3 linked regions of the Rhinolophus ferrumequinum genome follow. The protein of the gene in region 1 interacts with the protein of each later gene in a biochemical or structural test. Links are inferred from orthologs where the notes say so. Each region holds a gene or a part of one and is shown on either strand. Other genes may lie near its edges. The genes, in order: TLN1, ITGB3 and RET.

Evidence for each region.
Region 2: the proteins of TLN1 (region 1) and ITGB3 form a complex in vitro, tested with the Homo sapiens proteins (6 studies listed by BioGRID and IntAct, with this or other methods). The link is inferred for Rhinolophus ferrumequinum from reciprocal best matches to the Homo sapiens genes TLN1 and ITGB3.
Region 3: the proteins of TLN1 (region 1) and RET interact in a surface display test, tested with the Homo sapiens proteins (2 studies listed by BioGRID and IntAct, with this or other methods). The link is inferred for Rhinolophus ferrumequinum from reciprocal best matches to the Homo sapiens genes TLN1 and RET.

What each region holds. Positions count from the first base shown.
Region 1 is NC_046295.1:51,912,265-51,920,098, forward strand, and holds the start of TLN1 (talin-1), read right to left. Parts: upstream 3,366-7,834; 5' UTR 3,143-3,365; intron 1-3,142. Other genes in the region: CREB3 (cyclic AMP-responsive element-binding protein 3), read left to right, coding at 3,846-3,974, 4,066-4,213, 4,288-4,355, 4,479-4,568, 5,686-5,792, 5,903-5,971, 6,700-6,784, 6,883-6,967 and 1 more; GBA2 (non-lysosomal glucosylceramidase), read right to left, coding at 7,774-7,834. UniProt on the Homo sapiens protein: High molecular weight cytoskeletal protein concentrated at regions of cell-matrix and cell-cell contacts. Involved in connections of major cytoskeletal structures to the plasma membrane.
Region 2 is NC_046304.1:41,270,911-41,279,280, reverse strand, and holds the start of ITGB3 (integrin beta-3), read right to left. Parts: upstream 3,542-8,370; 5' UTR 3,453-3,541; coding exon 3,386-3,452; intron 1-3,385. UniProt on the Homo sapiens protein: Integrin alpha-V/beta-3 (ITGAV:ITGB3) is a receptor for cytotactin, fibronectin, laminin, matrix metalloproteinase-2, osteopontin, osteomodulin, prothrombin, thrombospondin, vitronectin and von Willebrand factor.
Region 3 is NC_046299.1:67,027,921-67,035,570, forward strand, and holds the start of RET (proto-oncogene tyrosine-protein kinase receptor Ret), read right to left. Parts: upstream 3,224-7,650; 5' UTR 2,991-3,223; coding exon 2,933-2,990; intron 1-2,932. UniProt on the Homo sapiens protein: Receptor tyrosine-protein kinase involved in numerous cellular mechanisms including cell proliferation, neuronal navigation, cell migration, and cell differentiation in response to glia cell line-derived growth family factors (GDNF, NRTN, ARTN, PSPN and GDF15).

The sequences.
Region 1 (7,834 bases):
TCCTTACAACAACCCTGCAAGGTAGGCGTCATTATTTCCAGTTTTACAGATTAGGAAACGGAGGCTCCAAGAAGTTAAAAATTTGTTCAAGGTACTTGTCCAAAATCACACAGCTAATAAGGTATGAAGCCAGGATCCGAACCCAGGTCTCTCTGACTCCAAAGCCCAAGCTCTCTCCACTACATCAGCCGGAGATGAGTCAAGGGTAGCATTCCAGGCAGAGAGAATAGCATAAGCAAAGGTGGAGAAGCAGGAAACCATGGAGGAACATTCAAGAAGTGAGCAGACAGGCTGGCTGAAGCACAGGGTACCTGCAATGGAGCAGTTAGGGTTAGGATGGAAAGGCAAGGGAGGACTAGAGAGAAGTATGAGGGATTTTACCTCCTGGAGGGCAACAGAAGGCCAAGGGAGGCTGTGTGCAGGGAAGGGACATCACAAGAACTGGATTTTAGGAAAATAATTGGCAATTACTTTGGAGATTGGTTAGAAGGACACTGCATTAGCACAAGTGGGGGGTAATGAAGCCAGAAATAGAATAGTGGAGAGAAGGATGTCACTCATTGGAAACTTTAAGACATAGAACTAAAAGGACCTCATGACAGCCTGTCCTGTCACCCCTCAGGGCCCAGGGCCCAAAGTCAGGCTTCTTGTCATTAGTGGCCCCTCAGTGGCTGGGATAGCTTGAGTTTAGGTAAGAAACTGGGAAGGGGGAAAGAAAGGATCAGGGTGAGCTGCGAATGTGAGGATGAGCTGTGGTTAGGGGATGTGGTTAGGCTGTGGGAAAAAGGGGGTGGGGATGTGGACGGTACCACGTAGGAGCAAAAGGGATGAGGTTAGTATCCTGTGTCAAGTAGTACTAGACTTATGGGGTGGTCACTTCGTAAAGTATATAAATGCCTAATCACGATGTTGCACACTGGAAACTAACATAATATCGTATGCCAACTGTAATTGGAAAATAAATTAATTTAAAAAATACAATGCATACACATGCCTCCTTTTAAAATTAAAAAAGAAGTGATAAGGTTAGTTACTGAACTGGACTGGAAATGGGGAAGACAAGGTACCGAGAAACGTGGGGTAAGATGGCAGTAGGAAAAAATACATATGTAATCAGTCACCACTTTATGCTGGGGAAGAGGAAGAATAGTTCTGTGGACAGTGGCTAAGTCAGGGAAGGATGAAGTGAGGTCAGAGGCTAGGTCAGGCTACAGGAGGCTGAGAAGAGATGGGCTGTGGTCAGGAGCTAAATTAGGAAGGCTGGGATGGAGGGAGAGTAAAGGGACACTGGTAGTGTCTAAGTAAAGCTGGAGTTGCTGGGGTGGGGCAGGGCATGGGGTGCAGCCAGTGGCTGCATCAGGCTGGGTAGGGGATAGTGCTGTGGTCAATGGCAGGGTCAGGCTGGGAGTAAAAGGGGGTGTGGTCAGTGGCCTGCCTGGGCGTGGGATCAGCAAGACCCAGTTTCCTCTTTGGGTCTCATTTCCTCTTTTCTGTTTAGGGAGTGGGGGAAGGGGATCTACAACAGGACCAAGAAATTAAGGAGGCTTAGAATCAGGGAATGGCACATAGCAGGGATGAGGGGTACTTGCCAGTTGTGTTGGGCTGGGGGTGGGGTATTCAGCAAATGACTAAGAGGTATACAGGTGAATGAGTGGGTGAAAATGGTGGGAGAGTGCTGTAAAATAATGGGAAAGCTCGGATTTGGGTGAAGGTAAATTAAGGTAGGATGTGTAGATTAACAGGTAGGAAGGGAGGCAGACCTGAGGCTAGGAATGGATGGTAAGATGAACATGGGAGAATTAAAGGCAAGGTAAGTATTCTGTAAAGGAATATGCAGGAAGAGTGTGAAATGCAGGGCCAGGGAGAAGAGTTGGAGAGGAGGGCTTAATATCTAGATAATGAAGGAAATAGGAGGCAGTGGGGCTGAACTTTGAGAGGATTCAGTCATCCCTTTCTTCCCTTGGCAACAGTGTCTCCTTGCTCTACTTCCCTCTTAGTCACCCGTCCCTTCTCCCCTAGGCGGTCCCCCACTTATGACTAGGCCTTGACCTGTCTCCCACCTCCTATCTTGTAAACAACATAGTCTGGGAACCCCTGCCTCTCAAATGTGGTGGCCATAGCAAGAGCCTTTGGCTTAGAGAGTAGAATAAAGAAGGTGGAATCCCAGATGCCTGCAATTCTAGCTGAAGTCCAGAACTATGGCGTGAAATTAGTTTGTCATTTCTCTAGGTCAAAGAAGCCCCTGCAACTACATAGGAAAAAGAGACTTCACCACCGCAAAACAAGGACATCCACCTACTGCCAATGTTGTAACTTTTACCTGCTTGAAGTCACTACCCTAACCTCAACCACCACCTCTAAAACTGCCCCTAATTTCTAATATTAACCTTGACCCTAATTTGTTTCCTGTTTCCCAATACCGGTTTTGACATTCATCCCTTCCTGGGAAGATACCTGTATCCAATCCCTGATCCCTAATATTGATAGAATTTTTACCTTTAGCACTAGATCCTCTGACCTTAACCGTAAATGTTGACTCCTAAACCTATAGCTCATTTGTCAGTTGATTCCTGACCCATCCCTTCACTGTTTGACCCTAATACGCCACGGTTCTCTAATCCCTGAAACTGAACTTCTAACCTAATTCCTGTTGTTGACCCTGAACTCTAATTTTGACTTACTCTGGCCATCCTAGAAAACAAAATAATGACCTTAATCCAAACTTTATCTATATAAAAGGGACCTGGCTCAGGCTAATAACTATAAATTTCAACCCTGGCTCTATAACTCCTAAAGCTAACCTGATTCCTAAATCTAATTTCACCTAATCCCAAACTCACCCAACGCTTTCCTAGCAGCTAACCTCAAAAGCCGATCCCCACCCTGCACCTCACTACCACCCTACTTCTCATCCTCCCCAAAACCTATCCCAGACAGAAGACTGCTCCCAGGAAGGGCCTGGCTCCCGCAAAACGGCCTACCTAACTCCGAGCCCAACCCCGGATGCACTGGACGCTGACCCCTCCAACAAGACCCGAAACAGGAGACGCAGGAGAGTTAGGGGCCCCGCCTGCCCACCCGCCTCCCCGGCCTGGCCTCGAGGCCCCACCTTGAGACTCCCCCTTGGCCCAGTCCAGCCTACCTGAGCTGCCCGGCTTGTGCCCCGCCCGCTGGCCCGCTAGCCCGTCTGTTCTCCCGATGGCTCTCGGGCTCCGGCCTCGCCCTCCCTTCGGCACTCTCGGCCACTTCCGTCCCTGGAACGTCCCCCACCCGCGGGCGGCGCCCTGGGCCCGCGCTCTATGGTTGCGGGGGACGGCAGGAAGCTGCTCTGGCCCCAGCTCTCGATGCTCGGGAGCGCGCTGAAGACCGTCTGGCCCTCCCCCGCAGGAAGCAAGGGTGCGGCGCAGTCCCGGGGAAACGGCCGAACTGCACCGCAGTTCCTTTGGAGTCTGATCCTTCCTTATTCTAGCTTGGGGCAAAGGCGGCGCCGGCTCCCCAGAATGCCCGCCCTCAGGGTGTGAGGAAGCAGCAGGGACCTCCCCTGTATTTGCATAGCTCCCGGGACGTGGCGCGGCACCTAAGCCACTTCCGCGTTTAGAGAGAACTTTAAGTCCCGGGATGCTTTGGGGTAGGCGTGTCACTTCCGTTGTGTTGGAAGCTGCGGAGAACCGAGTCTCGGTGGCGGGTCTTGTTTGAGAGCTACGACTAGTAGCTACGGGGAAAGCCGGCCGAATAGGGACTAGCGGATAGGTGGGGCTGACTCACAATCGGTGAGGGTCGTGCATGGGGCCGGGTGGAAGGGTGAACTCCTGCGCTTGTGCCCATTCTTTCTGTAGGTGGCCCATATGGATTTGGCGTTGGACCCGGGTGACCAGGACCTGTTGGCCTTACTACTAGAGGAAAATGGAGATTTGGGGGTGGCGTCCGATGCGTCCTTCGAGGCTCCACTGGACTGGGAGTTGCCGATTTCCGAGGTGGGCGGGGGCTCTGAGCCCGGGAGGTGGGGGGCGGGGTGTTCTTGAGGATGGTGGTAGGTCAAGGCCTGTTAATTTGAATCCTGTTCAGGCACTGAGCGATTGGGATGTAGAGGATTTCCTGAGCTGCCTGACGAGTTTCCCAGCATCGTCGAACGTTCTCAACAGCTCGAATCCCTGTCTGGTCCATCATGACCACACCTATTCTCTCCCACAGGAACATGTTTCTATAGATCTAGGTGAGTCTGAAATAAGTGAATTTTGAGGGGAGGAAGGGACTCATGAACCTGGCTATTCACTTTCCCTTTTGCAGATAGTGGGAGTTCTGGAAAAGAGGAGGCCCAGATGACACCCCTACATGTGGAGGAGCCCGCAGAACAGGTACTTTGTTTACTGGAGGATTATTCCCACATTGCACATTATTCCCACATTGCAGACAGGATTCCTCATTCCTCTCTGACATGCTCCCTTGTGACTCTGCCTCCCACCTTTCTGTAACCCCAGGAGATTGTTAGGCTGATACTGACAGATGAGGAAAAGAGGCTATTGGAGCAGGAGGGGCTTACTCTGCCAGAGACATTTCCTCTCACTAAGGTAAGACTCCCAGTGGTGGATCAAAGACTGGAGGGGTGAGGATTGAGTCCCAAGTAGTCCAATTCTGTTAATTTTTCATCAGTAACTTACTAAAGGACGAAAGTGAGAAATTAAGCAAATTTGCTGCTAATAGGAAGCCGGGGGATGTAGTTATATACTGGATGCAGGGGCAGATCCTGGTTTTGTGGGGCTTACACAAATTTTGGTATTCTTTGTAGGAAAGAATTCAAAATTACCAGTGCATTAGTTAGTATAGGGACTTGGAAAGGACTGTGCAAGCAAGGGGCTCTGACATTTAGATTTCACTAGGTGGATTACCATATCTATCTAGCTGAAAGGTCGAATTAAGTTTTAGAGTTCAAGACTGGACTTAGTAGTATAACAAGAATAAACGTAAAATCTTGAGTTTTAAGTTTCAAGAAGCAATGGGTGGCAGTCTCGCAAGCATAATATTGTGATACTGTGATGAGATCAATGTTCATTGACAGAAAGGTTAAAAGAGTTTCTTAAAAGTACAAGATGAGTCAGCAGTGTGATATGGTCACTAAGAAAGTGAATGGGGTTTGGAGGCTGTATCAATAGAGGTATTTCCTCTAGAAGGGCAGTGACTATCTTGCTCTCCTTTATACTGGTCAGAGCATATCCTAGTGCCAAGTTTTGAGTCCAGATCTTTGACAGATAGTAAAAGGAGTAAAAGGACACAGTCCATCCTGAGGAGGTAAGATGATGAGTTAAATATTTTATCCCACCCCCCAAAAAAGTTGCCCAGATTTATCTTTGCTTGGAGGAAATGTTGAGTGTCTTAAAATAGCTGAAGACCATTTGTTCTGTATAGCTCCCGAGATTAGGTATGAGGTAAGTCCAATGGATAGAATTATCGAAGCAGATACTGGCTCAGGATAGGGAAGATTAATTTTAATTAATAAAATTGTTAAAAATAGTCTGGCTTATGAGGGTGTTAACACCTAGTCCTCAGAGGCATTTAGCCAGAAGCCAAGTGCCTACTGGTCAAGGAAGCTGTAGAAGGGATTCGTGCATTGGCAAGATTACTCAGTTGCCTTCCAACTCTTTGGTCCAGTGTTCTGTGATGATACCCCTTTTCCCTGTATTATCTCAGATGGAGGAACAAGTTCTGAAACGAGTGCGGAGGAAGATTCGCAATAAAAAGTCTGCTCAAGAGAGCCGCAGGAAGAAGAAGGTGTACCTGGGGAGTTTAGAGAGCAGGTATAAACAGGAGAGGGGCTCTGGGGTGGGTGGAACAGAAGTAGCTGGAAGTGATATGTTTTTGAAGGGAGGATACAGGCCATATCCCCACATCCCTGTTATTCCCCCAGGGTCTTGAAATACACAGCCCAGAATTTGGAGCTACAGAACAAAGTACAGCTCCTGGAAGAACAGAATCTGTAAGCAACTAACCTCAGTCTCTTCTCATCCCTCCCATTTAATGAGCTTTCACTCTTTTCCCTGCTCTACATTTGATTTCCAACTGGGCAGCTCCCACATGCAAGGTCTGGTGTATGGCCTTTAGTGGGTCTGATTCTAAGACGCTCACAGTAATGGGGATTAAATTCACAAGTAACTAAGGATGAGTTAAGTATCAAGAAAGACAAAAGGAGGGAGTAAGAAAGACCTCACAGGGCAGATGGCATTTGGTAGTAGATAGGATTCGGGGGGGGGGGGGGGGCGGGGGGGGGAACATTTTAGGGAGAGAGAACACAGCACAGGTTAGTCTGGCTGGAATCCTAACATAGGTGAGTTGGGACAGAAGGGAGAGAATGTAGGCTGCCTGGTGAGGTTTATGTGCATAGCTACTTAGGCAGTATAGAACCACTGACTTTGCAAGAGTTTAAGTCAGGGCAGGGCAGAGGTGTGTATTTGTTTTAATGAGGAACTTCAGGCATTTTGTCCACAGAGAGGACAAAATGTCCTATTTGCAAAAATAGGACAAAAAACAAGCGAGTTAGAGCTTCTGGGTCTCGTGTATACATGGGGTATACGTTATTAAACATTTTCTCCTGCTTAAAAAAAAACAAAGAGGACCTAGTGCACAGATGGAGGGGTGGCCTTTATAGGAGGGTTTCATTGTGTCTCAGGTGCCAGGTGACAGGCTGCTCACTGTCCTCTGTCCTAGGTCTCTCCTGGATCAGTTAAGGCGACTCCAGGCCATGGTGATTCAGATATCAAACAAAACCAGCAGCAGCAGCTCCTGTGTCTTGGTGAGGACGGTGATGGAAGAAGAGATCCTTTTCTCTCAGGTGGCAGGGACACGGGTACAATCCAGAGCCCTTCTTCATCTCCTTTTCCTGTGCTCCAGGTCCTACTGTTCTCCTTCTGTCTCCTCCTTGTACCTGCTATGTACTCCTCGGACGCAAGGGGGAGCCTGCCAGCTGAGCACGGAGGTGAGAGGCTTGATACCATTAAGGGGAGTCTGGGGGGGAAAGCCTGGCCTGCTCCTGAAGAGTCTTTGTCTCCTCAGTGTTATCCCGCCAGCTTCGTGCCCTCCCTAGTGAGGACCCTCACCAGCTGGAGCTGCCTGCCCTGCAGTCGGCGGTACCGAAGGACAGCTCATACGACGAGCTCCAGGCTCCTGGCAACTCTTGCTGCCTGTTCTACATGCCTCAGGCTCCTGGCACAGAGCCTTCCCTGAAGTTGCCACTCCCTGGCCCCTTCTCAGAGTCCTCCTGCCCTGGTCCCATCCTTTCCCTGCATGCAAATCACACGAGAGAGATGGGATGGCTCCCAACCCATAGCCCCGTATCTGTTATCTTGCAGGGCAGATACTCAGGCTAGTTGTGAGGCCTGATGCCTCCAGTCGTGTCCAAATGAAAAAGAACGGGAGAGGGCTGGTCTCAGCTCCTGTGCCCTGTCAGGAAGCCTGAGGGCTCAAACACACCACACTTAACCAACTTTCTGGGTCTTTTATTTGTACCCATGGATGCCTATCACCCTGTGAATGGGCCTGGGAGGATGAACTTACCTCCTTGAACATTTCATGCAGTGAGGGGATAGGGTGAGGAAAGAAATAAATAAGTGATTCTGATGCTTGGGTCACCCTCAACCCCTCTTTACTGGCGTGGTTGGGTGGGGAGAAGGGAAGGGGCATGATTGTCCTGGTGGCTCAGGGTTGCAGGAGATGGGAGGCGAAGGAGGAAAGGCGAGGCTAGAGGCTGAGCTGTTAGATCCTCCCTCCCACAGTTCAGAGGGCTCACACTGGGCTCGGGTTGGCCATGGCTCCCTTTGGTCCGAGTGTAGGCCCTGTGTTTAGT
Region 2 (8,370 bases), on another chromosome or scaffold:
GGAGGAACTGCTATTAGGAAATTCCAGAGTCATATCCAGACAACCCCTCCTTGCTCTTGTCTCTTTGCCCCATCTTATGCTGTCCCCAGGACACCTCTACCACTCACATGCACAATTTTGAGGACGGAGTGGGGGGTGGGGGGGGTGGAGTAAAGGAGAATGCTGCCTTATCCAGGAAGGGGAAAAAAGGCAGACACTTCACAGAGGGTCCCCTGAGTTTCCAGCACCTTCAGATCAGAGGTCTAAATGGTGCAATAGTGCAGAGATCCGTCTACCCAAAGAATTCATGGCCTCAGCTGTACTCCAATAGCCTGCAGAATGCCCAGAGGGAGCATTTGAGAATCTTCTCGGAATGAATGCTGATAGTCAAATATTGAGTTTCTTGAAGTGAGGCGCATCACCTCTAGATGCCTTCTCATAGCATTCTACAGATATTTACTTTGCTGCCTATGTGCCAGGTGCTAGGCACAGGCTGTTTATCAAACAGACATGTCCTTCTCCTCGTGGAACCTGAAATCTGGTAGATGTCTTTTATTTTCCTCTTTTCCCAGAGACAAGATTTAAGGTTTTCTCATGGATAAAGCAAATGTATTAGCCACTCTTTCTTGGCCTCTTCTGTGGGTTCTTGTTGGGCCAGAGTAGCTGAGATATGCCAAGCCACCAACAGGGAATGGGTTGAAAACCCCATGGGTGTGGGGAAAGGGACCGCACTGGGCTCATTCTGGGAGCCTGGATTGCACTCATGCATGAAGCAGTTAACAGCTCTTGCCTTCAATACATGGCACATACCATGGACAGGAAAAATAATGACAACAGCAGTTGCCATTTATTAATACTTATTTTGTGCCTTTATCTCATGTAACTGACATAATCATAGAAGTATGACTTTCTCTGCTTTACAGATGAGGAAACTAAAGACCCAAGAGATTAAGTAACTTGCCCAAGGTCACACAGCCAATAACAGGCAAAATCAAGAATTAAACCCACATCTGACCGGTTTTAAACCATAGCTCTCCCTTTCCCCAGGATATAAACTCAGGAGGAGAAATCAGCACCTCATCTCAGAACTAATCAACTTAGATGGTGATAGCAAACAAAACTTGTTATCCATTAGATCTCAGGTTAGAATAAAGACCTATCTATGGGGAAACCACAAAACCCCATATTTCTTGGGTGCAGCTAAAAAGATCACCTTTGTACATAAATTCCATAACGCAATTCTACCCTCAGACAACCTCTTCTCCCCATACCAGAATGTCCCATTCCCGGGCAGTGTCTCTGTGTCACCCCCACCCAGCCCTTTCTGTGCCCCTTCAACACTGTATGTCCCAACACAACTCTCCTACTCTCATCCTACCACCTGCTTCTCCAGGGATCTGATGACACCTGCAACCCAGCCACCAACACTGGCATGGGTGACTTAAATATAATCAGATCTGCTTTTACTGGGGACTCATGACGCTGGAGGTCTGATTCTAGAGCTCATGCTCTTAAACACTCCACTACCCTGCTTCTCAGAGAGAGTTTAGGACTAGCTCAGCACAACCCATCACTGCTGCTGAAACTGCCCTGATCATAACAAATCTGTGAACCGATCGCCTAGATTATATTTAATGCAAATTTAGGTATGTCAATGCAGTGGAATTCTATGTAGATTATTACAACTGTGTAAATCAGGTCAACGAAAGGTATACTAAGGTTGAGAGAAGGAAAGAGAGAGACACCAAAACAACATATCTATTCTTCATCTTCACTAATATTGAGCCATGAACCATGCTAGGCTCTACCTTATGTTACCTTACTTCTAAAACTGGAAGAAAATATAAGGATTAGACTCAGAAATCATCCAGAAATTCAGAAAGCTGTGGCTGTGAAAAGAAAAGAAAGCAAAAAAATGTTTTAAGTTCCTAGAAGCTAGCATCTCCGTGGCAGACATCTGAGTTGCCCTTCTGTATTTCTCCATTACCCCCACCAAGAGCAGGCAGCATCTGAGCCAGGGCTCTACACCTCCCAGGGCGGAATGATGGACACTCATACTTCTGTGCCATGGTCATCAGGCTGCTCACTGCAGGCGAAAGACATCAGTTGACCTGTTTGAGCTTCCATCACTTGGGAAGCTTCAGCAACAACAACTTAAATAGCCCCCTATCTATTATCTATAACTCCTCCATCAAGATATTGCTCATAGAATGTGGTGATGGTTTCAGGGCTGTATACATCTCTCCAAATTCATCAAGTTGTATACATTAAATATATACAGCTTTTTGTATGTCAATCATACCTCAATAAAGTGATTTTTTAAAAAAAGATATTGTTACGCTGTCCTGTATAATCTCTTACACCTGCGCACACACACATATACAAGTCTTGAAGGCATTTATCAAACTATTTCTGGATTTATCAGTACATCTTACTTTAAAAAAAAATACTTTCTTCAGGATTTAAATTGTCTCACGATGAGTAGCCCTCCTTTCACAGAAAGTACATCCTCTGCTGGAGAACACCCCAGCGGACTAGGCGTCCGAGACCTCCCCGGGAAGGTCCCAGAGCTCGGGAAGAACCACGGCAGCAGCCCAAGGTTGTGCTGGGCTCTGCCCGCTTTTGAGCACCAATGAAGCCGAATGCCAACTGCCTTGGCCGCTGATAGTGAGTGCAGCAGCAGGAGAGACAAAGCCAGGGAATCAAGCCAGCTTCAGGGACCCCTGGCGTGGCTCCCCGCATACACTGGAGATATTTCGGATGCAGGTCTGTCCCGGAAGCAGAGACACCGCTACCACCCGGGAACACTGTAGGAGGCAGAGCCGTCATGCTCCTCCGAATCGCTCCCGCAGGGAGTCACCAAAGTTTAAAAATAATAATAAACGGGAGAAAATGTAACACAAGGAAAAAGAGGAATGTGGATTAATTGGCAAACCTGCACGCACGCACGCACTCTCATCCGAGAAGCTACAAGCCCATCCCTCAGTCAACGCACGGGAACAGCCCCGGGGAACCCCAGCTCGCCCTGGCTACCAGGGCCAGTCTCTCATCGCACTGTCCTGAACACCTGTGATGAGCGCAGCCCGGGGCTGAACGCGGGGCTCACGGATGGGCCCACCGCACTACGCACGTCGAGGCCGCCCAGAACTGGCGCCTAACCCGGCGAATGGCTTCGGCGTCCCGGAGGACCCACCCCTAGGGAGCCCCTCGCCCTGCCACCCAGGGACCGAGAAGGTCCCCAGCTGCGGGCTCCGACAGCCCCATCCTGGCCCCGCGCACTCAGAGCGCAGCCACGCGGGACCTGCTTGCCAGGTTTCCCCGCTCCAAGTCTGCAAACTTGGCTGTGGCAAGATGCGCGGCGCGGGTCCCCCGAGAGCCGCGTAGGGGCCGCCGGAGCCTCACTCACCTCCGACGCCGACGCCTGCCAGCGCCCCCAGCACCAGCACCGCGGCCCAGAGTGGCCGCGCTCGCATCTCGTCCGCCCGCCGCGGCGCTCCGCCTCGGCCGCGCCCGCCCGCTCCACAGCTAGCAGCTGCGCCCGCGGCCGCTTTTCCCGCAGCGGGAGGGGAGGGGACGCCGTGGGTGGGACGCAACGGGGCGGGCCACGGACTTGCGCTTCCTCCCCTAGGGCCCTTTTCTGGACCCTGAGCTGGAGAGGGGGCGGTGGGAAAACGCGGTGCCTCTCTCACCGCCATGATCAGCAAGCGAGGCGAGGCTGGGATCCGAGCGAGGCCATGGGCGCATCCTCTGCAGACATCCTGGTTCTAGGGTCCGCGCCCGAGCACTTGGCCTGTGGTCCTCTCCTGACTTACTCCCACCTCCTCGGGGACATCCACGCGGCTTTCTCTTTCACCTGCATCCTGGGGCTTTTCCTCTGTACCTTGACTTTCATTCATTCACACATTCATTTAATTGACAAATATCTGTTGAATGCCTACTTGGTGTCAGGCACTGGTTTAGTCCTTTATTATTCACTAGTTTTTTCTTGGGTGAGTTTGGTTTTCAGGTAGACTGTAAGCCTCTTGAGGACAAAACCACATCTCAAGCTTGTATAAGCAGTTATGAACATAAAGGGCCTCTCTCTACAAATACTTGCTTGCCTATAGAAGGTAGATGATAAACATTTAAGGACACAGTCAGTACAGCAGTGTCCCCTTACACACGGGTGGGAAGGACGGGTTACAAGACCTCAAGTGGATGCCTGAAACCCAATACAAACCTTATATGTACTGGGTTTGTGGTGTTTTCCCCCCTACATATGCATACCTTTTCACTTAAAGGAGGCACTTTATGGTTTCTCTTTGGCATGTCCGAATTGCTAGCATCACTACTCTTGCGCTCTGGGACCACTATTAAATAAAACAAGTGTTTTATTTTGAACAGAAGCACAGTGATACTGCCACCATCTATCTGATAACCTAGAGTGGGTGGATAGTGCTATACAGCCCGGACATGTGGGACAGAGGACAAAGGCGTGATTCATATTCTTGGCAGGACAAACAGGTGGGGGCGGGGGGCTACTCAAAACTGTGCCCAATTTAAAACTTAGGAATTCTTTATTTCTGGAATTTTCCATTTAATATTAATATCAGACTGCCATTGACAGCAGGTAACTGAAACTAGGAAAAGCTAAACTACAGATAAGGGGCTACTGCTGTATACTGTCTCCAAACTCAAACTCACAGGCTTTGGAGCTTTATCACATTTTCCTCAAAGGCCTTTCCCCAAATCCTTTCTCTGGGTCCCTTCTGGGTCATCACCAGACTAGAAACCTCAGGAAGCTCAAAGGGACAAAAATGCTAGCATTGTGAGCTGGGGGGGGGGGGGGGGGGGTGGGGGGAGGGGAGGAGTAGCTGGGGCTGGTGCAGGCTGTGGGATGGGTAGCTCTAAAACAAGGCGTAAGGCCTCAGGAAGGAGCTGGAAATCTCTCCAGCTCCTGAGCTCCCCTCAGGACCATCGGGGTACCCCTGGGCTTCCCTAAGCCCTTTCCTGAGATACACAAGATGCCTGAAAACTGGCCCTGACTCAGCTCTCTGCCTCATCTCCCACCTAGCCCCAAAAGATATTTAGCATTCTCAAACACTCCATGCCTTTCTGTCTGACTGATCTTCCTTCCTTTTTCCACCTGGAAAATTCCACTTATCTATCAAAACATCTCAGATGTCACCTCTTCCATGTAATCTTTTCTGATGCCCCTCTCCTCCAAACCCAATCTCTGCAGAGCTGGACATTCCCTCCTCAGACCTCCCAAACACTAGGATACACACAGTGGTTAACACACATCAGCAGAAGTGTCACTAGGAGTGTGCAAGGGGGCAGGGGAGGAGCCAGCCCACAAAGAGTAGCTGGGCTTCCTGACCTGGGCTTTGAGTGGCCAGTTCCATGTACCTCCCCTAGCTGGTGGAGGGCCTCTAGGCTAGAAGCCATTTCAAGAGCATCGTTATTGCCATGGAGCAAAATCTAGTTCACGTAGCCTGGTTATATCTCTGCCTAGATATTTACTTATTTGCCAGATTATACACACACACACACACACACACACACACACACACACACATCCCGGGGTGCCAAAAAATGTATACACATTACTTATATTCATCTATTGTTATCAGTATATGTTGAGTATTAAAATTTTAATACAGTTTTTTTTCTTTCTTCAAATGTATATACATTTTGGGGGCACCTTCTGTGTTTACCATTTCAGATGCTCTTCATTCCATCATCTAGTTCTGAGTTTCTATCGGATTTCATTTCCCTTCACCCTGGAGAACTTACTTTAGAAAATTTTACAATGAAGGTCCACGGACAACAAATATGTTCAACTGTGTTTATTTCACCCTCATTTTTAATGATATTTCTTAGAAATGGATTTCTAGGTTGACAGGTTTTTTTCTTTCAGTACTTTAAAGACGTGGTTCCACTGTTTTTGGCCTCCATTGTTTCTTTTGTTGTTATGTGTCAAAACAAGCTTTATGCTGTTTGAAAACCTAATACAATGCATTAAAGCAACTCAAAACAAGACATAGCTCCACTACATCTATAGCTTGAGCAAAATGTTGAGGCACACTCCCCCTGTCCCACCCCAACCTGGCCTCCATTGTTTCTGATGAGAAGTCAGCCATCATTTACATTCTTGTCCCCTCTCTTTTCCATCTGGTTTTTTTTTTTCTTTTTCTTTTGAAATCATTTACACTTCAGAAAAGTTGCAAAATACTAAAGAGAGTCGCCTTTTATCCTCTACTCAGTTTCCTCTAATGTTAACATTTTATATTGCCATAACATAATTATCAAACACAGGAAATTAACATTGATACAATATTATTAACTAGTCTACCTTCAATATTTGAATTTTGCCAATTTTCCCATTAATATCTTTTTCCTGGTTCCAGGATCCATCCAATTCAGGATCCCACACTGCATTGTCATCATGTTTCCTCAGTCTCCTTCAATCTGTGACATTTTCTCAGTCTTTTTCTTTCATTACCTTGACACTTTCGAAGAGTCTAGGCCAGTTTTGTTTTCTCTGTATGGGTTTGTCTGATGTTTTCTCATGATTGCATTGAGGCATTCCGGACAAGAATACCATAAAAATGATGTGTGTTGTTAGTGTATCATTTCAGAGGATACGTGATGACAATATGTCTTATTACTTATAATGTTAACTTTGATCACATGATTAAGATGGTGTCTACCAACTTTCTTTGCTATAAAGTTACTATTTTTCTCTGTAATTAATAAATATTTTATGGGAAGATACTTTAATTCTATGCAACTACCCTGTTTCTCTCCATACCTTTACCCCCTAATTTTAGCATACATCAGTGGTTCTTGACTGAAATCAATTATTGTGGTGTTTGAGTAATAGTGCTATATACTATTTCCCTTTCCCTTCTACAGCTACTAATTGGTATTCCACAGTAAAGAAGAGTTGCCCTTTACCTCTCATTTTAAAAATACAGTTATATATTTATATCAATATGAATTCATAGATATTTACTGTATTCTCTGGGTTACAATCCATTACTATCATTATTAATTTTGCTGCTCAAGTTGTCCCAGGTTTGTCTCTGCTTCTAAGTTTTCTCTTTATCTTTGGTTTTTCAATAGCTTGATGTAAGTTAAATATATGCTGTTTGCTTTGTATTTATCTTGTTTGGGGTTGATGAGACTCTTGGATACATAACTGATTTATTAATATTTTTCACCAAATAGGAATGTGTTAGCCATTATTTCTTCAAATATTTTTTCTGCACATTAGCTATCTCCTTATCTTCCAAAACTCCAATTACACATATTTTAGATATATCTAAATATTTATTATTATAAATATTTATATAATTATAAATATTTAGATATCCCACAGGCCACTGAGGCGCAGTTCTTTTTTTTTTTAAGTCATTTCTTTGTTTTTCTAATTAAATAGTCTATTAATCTCTTTTAAAGTTTCCCAATTCTTTCTTTTGCGTCTCTAATATGATATAAAGTCTATCCAGGGAATATTTTGGACATTGTATTTTTCAATTCTAGAATTTCCCTTCAGACTCTTCTATAGTTTCAGTTTCTCTGCTGAGATTCCCCCGTATCTTCGATCATTATGTCTCCATGGTCCCTTGAGTCCTTAAACGTGTTTACAGCAGCTATTTTAAAATTCTAGTCTGGGAATTCTGACTCATCTCTGGGTCTGTTTCTCTCTCTCTCTTTTGTCCCTTGAAAAGTATTGAGTTTTGTTCTATTAGGCAATTAAATTACTGGCAGATTATCTTGATCAAGGCTTGGTTTTACTCTTTTTCAGAACTGGTCTTTTTTTATTTTGTCCTTAGTCTTAGAGTGTGGTTGTTTGTGTGTGTGTGTGTGTGTGTGTGTGTGTGTGTGTGTGTTTGGTTTTTTTGTTTTTTTTAATTGGGGAATATTGGGGAACAGTGTGTTTTTCCAGGACCCATCAGCTCCAAGTCAAGTTGTTTTCAATCTAGTTGTGGAGGGCGCAGCTCACTGGCTGATGTGGGAATCGAACCGACGACCTTGGTGTTATGATACCTGCACTCTAACCAACTGAGTCAATCGGCTGCCCAAGGTGTGGTTTCTTTTTGTAGAACATGGTCCTTACTCCTAAGGTGTGAACTTTCTGTATCACCTAAGTACTTGAGTTGTTCAGTGACATCTTTTCACTTTGCCTGGGCTGAGACACCAACATCTCTAAGCCATGTGCAACCTCTAGTGTTCTGCTCTAGCTCTCTGCTCCAGCTCTCACTGCTCTCTGCAAAGCCTCACAGAGTCTAACCACATGTCTGTGCAGCCCAACCCTCATCTAAAGACCCTGGGGCACACCCATGCAGACTTCTGGGAGCACCTCTCTGTCCATTGCGTCCCGCTCTGAAAGCCTTCCCTGCCACT
Region 3 (7,650 bases), on another chromosome or scaffold:
AGGATAGGGCCCAGGAGAGCCTGGGGAAGCAGGACCCACCTTCTATTAGCCCCTGGCCAAAGAGAAGGGAGGAGCCGAAAGTGGGGCAGCCTCCCTGGCCAGGGGCCACTCAGACACCTGCTGGTCCAGGCAGGAGCAGCTGCCCAGGCCTTCCTCACAGCAAGAAGGCTGAGCAAAATGGGACCTAAGAAGCCAGGCCAGGAAGATGAGAAACGTGATGCTGCTGAGGAGTTGCAGGCGGCCAAGGAGATGGTGCTGGACAGGGGTCAGCCGGGGACATGTGCAGGTGGAGTCCCAGGAGCCGGGATTCTCACTCCTCATCTATGCCTCAGGGATGGCTGCACCTGAGCTGAGCAGCAAAGGGCCAAAAACTCTTCTAAGAACAACTCTTAGGTGGAGGTTCCCTAGCTCTGGTTTAAAGATAGCCAGGGCTGATGGCTGGGGGTGGGGTGGGCGGGCCCAGTGCCCCTGTGTGCATATGCGGGATCCCAGTGTGCGTGAGTGGCAAGGAGGGGAGTGTGTGTGTCCACAGGTATCATGAACATGTCTCCTTGAGAAAGGGCAGGAGTGTGTCCTGGTGATGACTATGAGTGTGAGCATGTGTGTGCAAAAATGGATGTGGGGGTGTGTGTGTGTGGGTGTGAACACAAATACCAGGGTGTAGGTGAGAAGGCAAGTCCTGCCCTGTCGGGTAGTCTGTGTCTGCGTGGGCACCTTTTTTGAAGGTGTGTGCGGCTACACACAATAAGAGTAGGGGGAGGCAGGCTGGGGGGGGTGTCTATGTTCCATGGCCTTGCTCTGGGTCTCCCTGGGTCCTCCAGCCCACCCCTGCCAGCCCAGAGGCGGCGCTCGCTGCTCCTTCCCTGCTCTCTGCTCATGGCCACTGACCCCTTCCGAGTCACCTCCCATACCCACCTCCTGTCAGTCCCCCAGCACCGAAGGGAGCTTCCGGTCTTGGGGAGGTATCTTGCCCAGCAGGGGATGACCTGCATCCTCTAGAGACCCAGCCCCTCCTCCCAACAGGTCAGGCACTGGAGCGCTGCATCCACAAGAGGGCGCCCAGAGGCCCCGCTGCTCCCCGCCTGGGCGGGTCCAAGCGCAGCTGCAGGCACGCTAGTGGCAGCGGGGAGCGGCTCACTGAGACCCAGGCTCCGGCAGTTCCAGGGCTGCTGCTCCTAGTAGAGGGCACCCACAGGCCTCTCCAAGGCCTCGGCGGTCTCTTCCTGTGTGGTGTGGGGCCACCGCTCCACTCTCAGTGCCACCAATCGTGGTTTCTTGGTCATCCCAAGGGAAGGATGGGCAGAGTTGGGGGTTCACTGTCCCTGGATTGGAGAGCCTGTCTTTGGTCACCCAACTCTGTGGACCACAGCGATAGAAAAGCCACCTATTCCTGCCAAGTGCCACAGGCCCACCCTTGCAGCCCAGCCCCCACAGTTCAGCCCCCCCACAGTTCCACTGAGCACAGCAGCTAAAGCACAAGGCTGTGGAATGGTATGGGGAAAGCCTCTGAAGGCTGCTGAGGCTGCACTCAGCACACTGCTTCTGGCTCACACCTGACCACAAGTCCACAATTACAAAGTTGCAACCCAAGAGTTACAGGAGATCTCTATAACACCCTGTTCCTGTTTACTTCTGCCCTGCTGCCCCCAGGCTCTATTCACAGCCTCCTGCTCTCTTCCTCTAGCAGCACTGAGCCCAGGGTCCCAATACTGGAAACAGATTCCCTTCCCACATTCATCCCCACGGCAAAGAAAGGGCTTCTCCCCTGCCCTCTCTATGACGCATTGAGGATTCTGGCTTCAGTATCTGCTCCTTGACACTGGGATCCAGTCACACAAACGAAGCCTTGCGCAGGCCTGTGAACCCGGAATCTGTGCAGGACCTGGGCCTAGACACAGGGTGCCACGGCCTCTTCTGTCCCCAAAGGCCATAGGGAGAGAAAACCCTTTGTAAGTAGTGTTGGGGAGGTAGCCAGGGCTGTTTCCCTCTTTGAGGGAAACTTCATTCAGAAGCACAGCAGGAGGGGATCAGTCAGGGACGGTTTGAACGGAAGTAAAATGCATGGCCGAGGGGAGTAAAGATTCTATCTACCGCCTTGGGGTTCATCCTGTCAGGGTTTGGGGGTGGGGTGGTGACCAGCCTTTGCAAGAGCATATCTAATGCTCCCAGCACCAACACTGGTGGCACACGGCCCTACACCCTACTCCAAGATGGTCAAAAGTGCTTATTAAATGTTGACCCAGAGCCATCATACGGTCCCAAAGGCCGCACTTTCAGATGCCCCTGCCTGGCAACGGCGTGCGACTCTTAAAAAGCCTGCCTGGTGAGGCTCGACCGCGGTGGGCCCTCCGTGGGCTGCGCTGGGCCAGTCTGAGTGGGCCATCGAGGGCAGGCTTCCCAGAAACCACAGGCTTTTAGGTTTTTTAAAAAGATTTGGGCGGCAAAAAACTCACGAGGGAAAAGCAACGTTTTATAAAAGAGGAGATCCCCTCCTCACCCCACTGCGGGCCAGGGGATCACGGCAGGAGGAGGAATGAACCGACGTGGAGCGCGGAAAGGAAACCAGGACGCAGCGATCTTTTGCAGAAACAGAACTCCGTGCACAGGTCGCTGGCTTTCTAGGGCTATCTCACCCGTCCCGCGCTATCTGCGACGAAAGGGCGACAGTATCTGTCCGCTTCGGTCCAAGCGCGACCAGACTGCGACGCGCGGCTGCAGCTCGCACCGTGAACAGCGACCTCGGCCGCCGGGCCCAGCCCGCGACCCGCCCAGCTTGGGGCCTGAGGCTCCCTGCTCGCCGCACCACCTCGCTCCCCGCCCCGCCCCTGCGGCCCGCAAACGCGCTGCCTGCGGCCCGCCGCAAACAGGACGGCGTTTTCGATTGCGTCCACTCCACCACTCCAACTTGGCCCCGGCCGCCAGCAGGACTTACCTTCGCCGAGCAGCGGCAGCAGAAGCAGCCACCGCAGCCCCGCCGTCGTCTTCGCCATCGCCCGTGTGCGCCGGGACCGCGGCAAGAGGATGGTGGCTCGGACAGGGGGTGTAGGCGGCGGGGTGTAGTGCTCAGCCGGGCCGCTCCATCCCGCCCGGGACGCGGCGGACGCGGCGGACGCGGAGGACACTGCGGGCGCGGAGCGTCGGAGCGCGACACCGGGGCGCTCTCCGCTGCTTGGGCCGGGCTCTGATCGCCGGACTGAGGCAAGGCAGGCGCGGGCTGCGCGGGAGGAGCGGGCAGGGGCGGGGCGGCGCTGCCAGGGGGGCGGGCCGGGCGGGGCCAGGGACCGAGCGGGTGCGGTAGGGGCGGGGCTCGGGATACCCGCCCGGCAGCGCCCAGTGCGGAACCAGCAAGGCTCCAGTAGCGGACCAGTGCTGGACGTGGGGTGCGGGTGTGGTCTAAGCGGAACAGGAGTAGGAGCGAGGTGTGGGGCGCCGGGTGCTGGCCTGCCAACCTCAGCCCAGTCCGCACGCACAGCCACTCTTTCTCAGCCTGTGCGCCCTCGCTGTACCAACCCTTCACCCTTCCCCGCCTCCCACACGAGACAATTAAACCACGCGGGGATGCGGGGTCTGGGCAGCCTGGCTGGGATGCACCCGAGCGGACCTGGGGACCAGGCTCTTGGCGCGGAGCGCATCCTCCGCCATTTCTCAGACCTGGTCCTGGTGGCCTAGTGGGGTGCTTGGAGAGTAGCCACCCCTAAAAGAAGAGCTCTTTGGATGTGGAACTGAGTTGGAGAGCGCGTAGCAGGGAGGGACAGGAGCCTCAAATAATGTAATGTTCGCCCAAAGAAAGGATACCCACAAACACATACAATCCCAGAAAGGGGGAACTCAGGACCTTTAACATGGGGTTCCTGGGATGAGGTGAAGACGGGTTCTAGACCTCTGTGGGAAAAACCCACCGTTCTCCTCCTACCCCCTAGCTACCTTTTGAGGTCCTGCCTCCACCAGGGCCAGAGGAATGGAAGCCTTGGGGTGGGAAGGTCCAGCGCACCTTGGCCTTGGGGGCGCCCTTCAGGGTCTCTTCTTCCTGCTGTGCACACGAGGCTGGGGCTCCACCCTCTTGCCTGGCCAAGCTCAGGGCTGAATACGAGGTCTGCACATCACTCTGCAGATATGAAGTCAAAGTGAAGTCAGCCTTGCAGGCAGGAGGAGGAGCTGCCAAGACAGGATGGCTGGGGGTTCTGCCAGCTGAGATGGCCAGAGCCGGCCTGTGGCAAGAGGCCAGGGCACAGCATGCCCGGCTCTGGAGAGCCCCCCTTCAGCCATCAGACCTTGTGCTGCCTGTCTCACATGCCCAGAGCCCCACACCCTCGGATTTATAGGGCTGGTGGCCACGGGGCTCCCTTGTTTGTAGATAGACCCTTATTTCTGGTGCTAATGGCTACCAAGGCTGGACACTCGGGGCTGTGCCCAGGGAAGGGACCTGAGTAGAAAGGGAGGGGCTGAGGGGGACTTTACTGTTACAAACAGGCTCCTGTGGCAGGAAAATGCAGAAGGAAGAGGGGTGACTTGACCCATTCTTCCAACCATCCCCACCCTAGTACCTCCCAGGGAGTACCCTGGCCAGGCCTTGGCTGACACTGAACAGGCTGGATTCTGGCTGGCTCTGTGTGTCCCATCGGAGGCTGTGCTCCTGCCTGGGTCCCCCTCCCCCTCCCACTCTCTTTCCATCTCCACCCTTGGGGGTCTTGAATAGATGCCTGACACTATGGAGTGGGCATTGCCCTCCTTTTAGATCAGTGTCAGGGGAGCCTCACATTTGTACCATTGCACATACATGTACATGTGTGTGCATATGTGCATATGTATGTACTAACATGTATGGACTTGGGTGTGTACCCTCCCCCACGTGCACGCGCAGGGACTTGTCTGGAGGGCACCCAGTAGGGGAAAGGAGTGAAGTCCTGGGCTTGCTGGCTTCGGACTACGGGCGGGGGCTGACTCAGCCCTGCCTAGGATTGTGCATTGGCTTAAGATCCAGAACATCAGAATGGTAGGAAGGCGCTTCTTCTCCCAGCAAAGAGGAAATGAATGCAGCCTCCCTGAGGTCCCACAGGGCAAGGTCAGAGCCTGAGCTTCAGCCGAATCCAAAGGTGCTGGTCTGATTCCCCAGGAAGCCCCTCCCTTTGCTCCACTTTGTCCTAGGGGCGCCTGGGACAGTTGCATGGGAGAGTTTGCAGGAGGTTCCTGTTCTCTGTCCTGGCTTCCCCTAGTCATCTCTCTCTGTGCCTCAGCTTCCAACTATAAACATCCCCCTCAGAACGGATGAGGATAGAAAAGGGAGTATGTGTGAGGGTGGAGCTCAGTGCCAGGCACAAGTGAGTGCTCCATCAATCATAGCCATACCTATGCTTGGGACTTGGCTCTCTCATCCTTGCCCTGTTGAGGGACATGGGCTTCCATAGGCACTGAGAAGCTCTCTAGGAGCTGGGTAAGGGGGGTACATCCCAGTGTTGTCAGTGCTCCCCACCCCTGCCCACAGCCCCCCTTTTATCATAGATTCCGGGGCTCCACCTCCATAAAAATCGACATCTTAAAAAAGAGTCCCGCGAGAGGTTCTGATACGGGATTCTGCTTTGGAGTGAGTCAGAGCAGTTTGAATTTTGCCACTTACAGTCGTGTGACATTGCACAAATCACTGTACCTCTCTGGTTTTGCCATTTCTAAAATGGGGGCTAAAATAGTGCTCCCCCATCTGGATGGCTGGGAGGAATGACTGAAATAGTGTTAGTGAGGCCTTGCTCTCAGCACAGGATAAGGTGCTCCATGGGCGGGCAACTCACAGGTTATTCCTGCAGCATTCCTTGCCTCTGAGCAGGTGAGGCCTACCTGGAGCCCCTTGGGTCTGGCCCCAAAAGACAGCTCAGGGAAGGGACAGCACAGACAGGGATCCCATCTGGTGCCGGCTTGTCCAGGTGGGGAGGAGCTGCTGGTGATCATGGACCAGGGTGCTCTGTGATCATGGACCAGGGTGCTCTGTGATCATGGACCCAGGTGGCTGTGGCAACTCAGGGAGAAAGTCTGCTTTTAGGAGTGGAGACTGAGTGTAAGGATAGGAAATCCTGGCCCCAGGGACCTTACAGGGACGAGGAAACAAAGCCAGCAGCACAGCCCAATCCTGCAGGCACTAAAAGGCTAGACATTATTCCAGGAACTGCTGACTGAGGCCTGTTAGGCCCCTGCCTGGGGCCAGATGTGGTCAGAGGGGGTCCGGGAGGGGGTCTCAGGCAGTGTGACACAGAGGCTGGAAGCATAGGGGCTTTGAAGCTGACTGTGTACTGTAGCTAGTTGCTTGCTTACTTAGTTTCCCCTCTGTAAGCAGAGGTAATAAACCGCTGCACTGTCACTCCACTGGGTGTTAAGGTACAGGCATGTCTGTTTGCTGTCCTCCAGGTGCAGCTGCAAGGAGAGCCAGTGCTCACTAGCCGGCTGTGAGGGCCCACCGTGGGGCTCCCCATCCACTTACCTCCATTTCAAATATGCTGTCCCCATAACACACAACACACCAGGCTGGGGCTCCAAGGTGTGACTCAGGAACATCCTTCCCCTGACTGTGTGGAGGCCCTGCCTGCCTTCCTCTCACACACAGCTGGTATTTGAAGACAGGACCTCAGCCTGGCCAATGAGAGGACCCTCCTCAGGCCTGACCAGTAGCTGGGTGTTAGCTCAGGCAGGCCAGTCTCAGTTGGGCTGCCTTGTCCAGACCGCCCAGGGCTCCAGAGCAGGAGCAACTGTGTCCTGCATACTGTCAGAGACCCTGAGGCTCAGACAGGGCCCACCTCCACCTGGAAGGCCTGACCTCAACTCTTTGCCCCAACTCACCCTTCCATGGACCCCACAACAGACTTGTCTCCTCTGAATTTCTTTCCTCTCCCTTTTCCCTCCCCTTCTCTGCTTTTCTGCCTTCTCCTTTCATGCCTCCTCCGCTTCCCTCTTCTCGAGGAGGAATCTCAGCTCTATTCCTTTCACCTAGCCCCAGAACCAGGCTAACTGTGTCCCTGGGACTCGGCTTCCTCATCTGTACCTGGGAATGTCATACGGTTAGTGCCTCGCAGTGTTGTGAGGCCACACCCAAATGGTGCATTAGCAGGATCTGCACAGTTCCTGGCTCAGGAGGCGTTTTCCTCCCTCTTCTTTCAGCGTCCTCTAAAGTCCAGGGAGCTGTCTGGCTGGGAGGCCAGGGCAGTGGCATGTTGTGAAGGCTGCAGGTGGGCTCTGAGCTGTGTCCTGGCTTTGTCTCTTGTCTGTGTGACCTGGAATGTCCCTGGGCCTCAATGGGAAAGCAGAGTCCCCTTCCCCCAGGTGCCCGATGACACGTGAATCCCCAGACAGCCAATGAGTTGTCCCTCCTGATTCCCATCGGCTGTAGGAGTTGAGGCAAAGAGGCCACAGAGGTCAGTGGACGTCGCTGAGTTAGCACAGAAAGCAGGTGGTCCCTGGATCCAAATGACTGCTTCCCTTGTGCTGGCTCTGCAACTGCACAGGTAGTAGTGCACACCTGTCTGGACAAGGCAGCCCAACTGAGACTGGCCGGCCTGAGCTAACACTTTTCCCTCACCCTCCTACATGACCCACAGCCTTCTCAGTGGAAGGAGAGCGAGCCCTGGAAGCTGAGACTCTTCTTTGCCGCAGCAGTCCTTATCTCATCAT